Coturnix japonica: one gene and its partner. The protein of the gene in region 2 purifies or fractionates together with the protein of the main gene of each other region. This does not show direct contact. Links are inferred from orthologs where the notes say so. Each region holds a gene or a part of one and is shown on either strand. Other genes may lie near its edges. The genes, in order: GAN and SFN.

Region 1 (3,817 bases), on a different chromosome or scaffold from region 2:
GTAGCAGGACTCACAATGTTTGAGCTCCGCACATTCCCAGTCCTTGGACGAGTCTCTATTGTACTTAAGCACTGCAATTCTGAAAGACTATGCACTGTGAATTGTTTTGGACTCAGTTGCCATCAGAATAAGGTCAAGCCTCATTCCTTTCATCCAATCCAAAACAGATTTACGCACTGATGTAATTGCATATGCTTATTCTTACACACTAAGCAAAACTTGTAACTCAGTTCCTTGCGTGCTCCTAGGATGATGCTACATCCTCTACTCACAGGTAATGAGAGATATGACACATATATGAGATGTGCCCATTGCTGCCCATAGCTGTGAACCAGCAATATCTGAAGGCTGAACTCAAACAACCAGAAGTGCTTTTATACTCATAAAGAAAGCAAACGTAATGGAGTTCTGAAGTTAATTAAACCCAGCCAGAAAACGATGTGGCTTGTTAGGAAGAATGAGATAACAATATGCAACTACTATCACTGTAGAAATATACATGCTTTTCAATAATAAATTAATAACCTGTAGTAACTGTGAAACATTAAGATGACGAATCAGTCTCTGTATGTATCACATTAGCCATGCACTAATGAAAAGGAGGAACTGTCCCTAAGCAGACACAGCTCAGGCTCCTCAAGCCCTGCCCTGCCTGTGACAGATGGCACTCAACCTGCAAAGTGTGGCTGTGTCTGGATCTGGGGATAACTGCCAGTCCCTGCTGGCTGATGTAGTAACAGAGCATGGTATCACAGCACCCTCTCCTGGTAAGTAACATCACTTCTTGCTCCAGAGGGGGAAAACGGGCTCTACCCAAACCAGAGAGCAAAGAAGTGCTTAGTGCAAAGGTAGCACTGCTGGTGACTGTCCTGGTCACCCGGGAGCTGCCTACAGCCCCAACTCAGGTTCACATCAAGATGAATTTCCCAAACAAATGACACACACTGGCAAGGCAGAAGGACAAAGAGACAATCTGAGCAGCTCCCTACAGGTGCCTCCAGCTGCAGCTGGACATTCAGACTACTGCTATCTCACCTTGTGCCAGCACAGCCCTTGTGGCACTCGCATGACTGATGGGGTACAAAATCAAGAGCTGAACTGGAACTGCATCATACCTTTACTTGAATCCTGTAACTCCCTAGGATGCCACTAAGCAAAAACAGAGAAACGCAGGCCTGGCAGGAACCGGTGCTACAGACAGCAGGTGGCACCAACTCACCTGCGCTCAAACTGCACCAACCAGTGAGACAGGTTTACAGTCACTGGTAAGGAACTGTGAGCCACAAAGCACCTTCTGAGGAACAGCATCAGTCTGGAAACATTTCCGTCAGGTCAACCAAAACCAGGAGGTAGTTTGTCGGAAAGCATTTATTTCCAGAATTTTTCTTCTGCAAACCCTCCTGTCCTGAGCCTTATTTGCTTATAACATTTCCCCATGGCCCCAAAGAAACAAAAAACACCAGGGAGGATCAGTAGCAACTCTTATCTGTCTGCTTCCCATAACCACCTTGACGTGCATTTCCTCTCCAGCTTCTTTTGGTCAGGGCTCACATGGATGTGACTTAGAACAACTAAAAGTCCATTTCATACAGAGATTGAAGTTATATAATAAATTCCCCACTGCTATACGATTTTTATGTGCTTTTATATAGGCTACATTCAAAGATGCAATCTTGTAACAGATTTAGTTCTCTCTGCCATATTTAACTCACTTTGAGATATCTGACAGCAGAGTCTTATTTCAATTCAGTTAAGAAGAAAAAAAAAAAAAAGCAAAGAAATCCCATTTATAGTTGAATGCAAAAAGAAAAGAGTGCAGGTACAAAAGTTTCCCAGTGACACCCGGAGCATGAATTAACTATCCATAAAATTCAGCCTAATGTAAGCTATGTTTAAAGCAGTTACCACATGCAGCGAAGCAGATTCTAAAACAAAAGCCAAGAGATAACAAATGAAATCACCAGAAACAAATTCAAAACAAACAAGAGGAGATCGGCCACGTGTAGCATCTGGAGGCAACTGTGGACTGAACAGCACCCACAGCACCTTTTCTTATGACAAGAATCTACACTGTTTCCAGAGCCAACCAACTGTGACTGCTGATCTGTATGCATTCCCCAGGTTTATAGCTGTAATTAGTTACCTTTTAAATTCATCATGATAAAATTCAGATTTACACGTCACCATCTCGCTGGCTTGGCTGTCATCACGACTCCTGACCCCCCCAAACACATAAAGCTCAGAGGCAACTCCACAGGCCACTGCCCCAAACCTGGGAATCCAGAAAGGAAAAAGAAGCAAAAAACACAATCAGAAGATAAAATAAAACATTCCATCCTTCTGAGTTCTCTCATTTTTTACATGTATTTTTAGATATAACATGTATTGATGAAAAAAAATATATGTATTTACCACTACAGTAATGTATTTATCTCTAGAGAAAAAGCTGAAGTTCCAATTGGATGACAACCTCTACTCTTCATTTTGCTTCAGGATAGCATTGCTTGTGACATGCTAAGCACATTTTGATGGGTTGGATTCTTCTCTTTACTCAGCCACCATAATAATGGTGCTTTAGGAACCATTTTGGAGGGCTCAGACTGGATACACTCCAGCAATCTATCCATCCCTCTCCCCCCAAGCTTCACCTTCACCCACCTTCTCTCTTTCAGAGGACAGATGGCTGTCCACTGTTGAGTCCTGGGGTCGTAACATTCAACAGACTCAAAGAGCTTCCCATAGGAGCCTCCACCCATTGCATAGATTTTCTTCTTCATAGCTGCATAGCAGCCAATCTCAAAGAAAAAAGAAAATTGCACATAAACACGCGATATCCAGAGCTGAAAATTGATTATACACACACTTCTGCACATTTATGTATATTATACATAAACATTCAGTCATGGTTCTAACATACACATTAACAAGGGACCTGCTCTCATTTCCCTGCCACTTGTTAAGAGTTTCTAATTGAAACAAAGCCTTATGATACACAGGATAGTTGAAACTGTTTAACAGCAAGGAAGGTGGTAAAATACAATGTAGCTCTTACCTTTCTAACCATGGTCAAGTCCGGCTGCTTGGTCCAGGTACGGTTATAGATATCGTAACTCTCCATAGAGATTAGTTCCCTTTCACCATCCTCACCTCCCAGAATATACAGAATTCCATCAATCTCCACCACACCAAAATTATGTCGTGCCTAAGGGATATCAATGAGGTCAGCACTGTAAAACATAACTGCTAACTGAGCAGTCAATACAATCTTCTCTCGTGTCTGTCAGACAAGTGATACTGGTATCAATTACTACAGTGGTTTTTCTGTTATTTTTTAATACAATGAAGTCTGAATCTCACAAATAAGATTATTATATTCTCCAATTAAAGAATACAAAGGGTACTAAAAACAAACAAACAGAGCAGCAAAAGCAAAAGAGACCCTGCAGAAACCTTAGAACAGAGCTTGGCCGTATTTCAGTCTGCACAGCAGTGGTCTCCACAATGAAACTTTTCAGGTCTGTACTCTCAAAGTGCATCACAACTACAAACGTGGATTTCCTTTGAGCTCAAGTACAGGCCCTCGACAGCAAGGAATTCCTCAAGTTCCTCTTTGAAGCAGCTCTTCAGTAACAGTTTGTGTTTGCCACTCCTGCAGCTGTTAGCAGGCTGCAGGTAACAACAGGGTATAAGCAGGAAGCAAACCCTACCATGACTCTGAATGCACACGATGCAAATGATCAGAGATTCAGACTATAATCCTGCAGAAACAACTGAATGTTTTGCTGAAGTAGGAAAAAGAAAAACCAACTCCAAGAGT
Region 2 (3,404 bases):
TGGCTCCATCCCCACGTGCTGCCCGCCGCACCCTGCCCTGTGCCGGCGTGTGGGAACAGGCTGAGAGCGAAACTGCAGCGCAACGCCGAGCTCAGATCCTAATCGGGGCCGCCAGCGCTGCTGGGCAGAACTCGAATCAAAATGAGACTGACAAAAAAGAAGGAATAATAATCCCAATTCTTCCAGTACAGCGTAAAGGGAGAGAAAAGAGCCCCGGTGGGATGAGCGGAGAGGGTGGGGGACATGGGGATGGGTGGTGGAGAAGCCTTAATGGGGATCCAGTGGGGTTTGTGGGTGTGGAGCTGCCTTGGGTTTGGGGATGTCCAATGATGGTTCAATGGGGGGGTTGGGGTTGAGTACTTGCAAGTGCCAGGGCAATTCCCCCTGAGCAGGCAGGGTGGAGGAGTTGGGAATGCCCCAATCCCAATCCTGGCCCTGATCCCTGCAGCAGTGCTGGGGTAACGTGCTGCTCCTCCTGCCTCGATTTCCCCACCAGTGGGAATAAATACCAGCCCTTCAAGCCCTTGCAATCACCGACAAGTTAATCATCATATAAAAATGACAGCGATGGGATTTTTGGGGAGGAGACCATTTTTACAGCCAGGTTTATTCCCCGTGCTGTTTCTCTAAGGGTGGTTGGGATGGGGGCACTGGGTGCTGCCGCTTTCCTGCTTCACCCCAATGTGACGACCCCACTGCTCCCTGTTCTGAGCACTCCTGGCAGATGGGGAAGGGTTCCCCCATTGGTCCATGGTCCCCCATTGATCTGGGATCTCCATTGATTCCTGGTCTCCCATTTATTTGGGGTCCCCCATTGATCCGGTTTCCCCCATTAACTCAGGGTCCCCCATTGATCTGGGGATCCCATTGACTGATCCCAAGTCTTCCAAGTATTTGGGGTTTCCCATTGATTTCGGGATCCCACTGATTCCAGGTCTCCCGTGGGTCTGGGTATCCCATTGATCCAGGCTCTCCCACTGGTTCAGGCTCCCCCACTGATCTGGAGTCCCCACTGATTCTAGGTCTCCCATTCATTTGGGGTTTCCCATTGATCCGGGGTCCCCAGTTGATCTTCCCTCCTCCATTGTTTCAGAGTCTCCCACTGACATAGGATGTCCCATTGATCCAGACTTCTCCATTGATCCAGTGGGACATCCCATTGACACAGGGGGGGCTCACCATGAACTCCCTGAACACATCCTCTCCCTCCCGGCACCCACCTGATCCAGGGCAGGGTGGGTGCCACCCGCTCACCCCTTCCCCATCACCCTGTGCCTCGGGGCATGATGACTCACGGCAATTTGCTTTTTAAGGGCGGGCTCTGCGGGGAGGAAGCAGAGGAGGAGGAGGCCGCTCCTTCAGCCTCGTTGGCTCCTCCTGCTCTTGCTCGGGGCTCCGACGCTCAGCCAAAAGCGAATCGGGGCGGTGAAGCTCAGCAGAGGCTCCGACGGCTCCCGGCCCCACTCCTCGTCTCATCCTGCTCCTCATCCGCCCTCAGCCATGGCAAGAAACCACCAAGTGCAGAAAGCCAAGCTGGCCGAGCAGGCTGAGCGCTATGAGGACATGGCGGACTTCATGAAGGCGGTGGTGGAGCATGGAGACGAGCTGTCCAACGAGGAGCGCAACCTCCTCTCCGTCGCCTATAAGAACGTGGTGGGCTGCCAGCGCTCGGCGTGGAGGGTCATCTCCAGCATCGAGCACAAAACCGAGGAGGGAGACGACAAAGCGCAGCTGGTGAATGAATACAGGGAGAAGGTGGAAGAGGAGCTGAAGGGCGTCTGCAACGTGGTGCTGGGCTTGCTGGAGAAGCACCTCATCAAGAAGGCCGGAGATGCAGAGAGCAAAGTGTTCTACCTGAAGATGAAGGGAGACTATTACCGATACCTGGCTGAGGTGGCCTCCGGCAACGACCGCAAGGAGACGATCGACAGCGCCCAGAAGGCGTACCAAGAGGCCATGGACATCAGCAAAAAGGAGATGCAGCCCACGAACCCCATCCGCCTGGGGCTGGCCCTCAACTTCTCCGTCTTCCACTACGAGATCGCCAACGCCCCCGAGCAGGCCATCTCGCTGGCCAAGACCACCTTCGACGAGGCCATGGGGGACCTGCACACGCTCAGCGAAGACTCCTACAAGGACAGCACCCTCATCATGCAGCTGCTCAGGGACAACCTGACGCTATGGACAGCCGAGTGCGCGGGTGAAGACGGCGGCGAGGCTGGCGAAGAGCCCAAGAACTGAACGGCCCCCAATGCAGCTGGGGTCCATCCCCCACCTCCTTCCTCCTCCCCTCCCTCCCAGACTCCCCCCCCTTTCCCCTTCCCCTTCCCGAAGCCCTTCGGTGTCTTTTCCTTTTGTTTTGTTCCTTTTTTAAGGAGTGGGGAAGGTATTTCGCCCCCCCACCCTTACCCCCCCTCCAGTTCTGGGAGTGGGGTCCATATGTTTGCCCTTTGGCAGGGCCTCCCCTTTCCTTCTCCCCCCCCCCATGTTCTTGTCATGCTCCCCTCACCCCTTTAACACTTTGTTTGGGGGATACCCCAGCGTAGCTTAGGGGGGGCCCTAGCCCTCTGTCTTGGGGGGCTAGAGCCGTGCCGCTGGTCCCTTGGGGGCAATGGGAGGAGGTGATGGGACGGGATGGGGAGAAAGGGGAGGGGGGGGGTTGATGTGCCCCCCACCCGGATGGAGGATTGCGAATTGCCGAAGCCTCTGTGTGGCTCCAATAAACCATCTCGTGCACGTCTGCCTCTGTGGTCGCCTCATCTCTCCTGTCGTGCACAAGCCCAGGCAGCTCCTGCAGCTCCCACAGCCGGTCCCATTGCGTGCCACGCCATGCTGGGGAGCACTCGGGGCCTCCAAAGTGCAGGTCTGGCTGCCTGCAGCCCCTCCCAGCCCCGCCATGGGGTGTGGGGGTACTCAGCCAGCCCCAGACCTCAGGGACGGGTCTCAGAATGGGCTTTCTAGGTGGGTTTTCCATAGGGAGAGTATGTCCCAGGTCTCCAGCCCTGCAATTGTATGTCCCCATTCCCATGGTGTCTCCATCCCTTTGGTTTTCCCATTCTTGTACTGTCCTCATCCCCAAGATGTTCCTATGGTGTCCCCACCCCCATAGTATTTCCATCCCCGTAGGGTTTCCATCCCCATGGTGTCCCCATTCCATAGTGTCCCCATCCTCATAGTGTCCCTATCCTCATTATGTTTCCACCCTTATGGTCTTCCCATCCCTATGATGTCCCCATCCCTACAATGTCCCCATCCCCATCTTGATGTCCCCACCTCCATGATATCTCCATCCCCATGGTGTCCCCACCCAAACCACGCAACCCACAGTGTCCCAAACCCCATTACTGGGGCTCCGTGCAGACAGGGGGATGTTTCAGCTCTTCCCCTCCAGCACTGACACGGAG

The links.
Region 1: the proteins of SFN (region 2) and GAN purify together in Homo sapiens (affinity purification with mass spectrometry; 3 studies listed by BioGRID and IntAct, with this or other methods). This does not show direct contact. The link is inferred for Coturnix japonica from reciprocal best matches to the Homo sapiens genes SFN and GAN.

Annotation. Positions count from the first base shown.
Region 1 is NC_029526.1:13,711,231-13,715,047, reverse strand, and holds part of GAN (gigaxonin), read right to left. Parts: intron 3,203-3,817; coding exon 3,053-3,202; intron 2,796-3,052; coding exon 2,659-2,795; intron 2,273-2,658; coding exon 2,144-2,272; intron 1-2,143. UniProt on the Homo sapiens protein: Probable cytoskeletal component that directly or indirectly plays an important role in neurofilament architecture.
Region 2 is NC_029538.1:1,605,255-1,608,658, forward strand, and holds SFN (14-3-3 protein sigma), read left to right. Parts: upstream 1-1,347; 5' UTR 1,348-1,500; coding exon 1,501-2,241; 3' UTR 2,242-2,740; downstream 2,741-3,404. UniProt on the Homo sapiens protein: Adapter protein implicated in the regulation of a large spectrum of both general and specialized signaling pathways. Binds to a large number of partners, usually by recognition of a phosphoserine or phosphothreonine motif.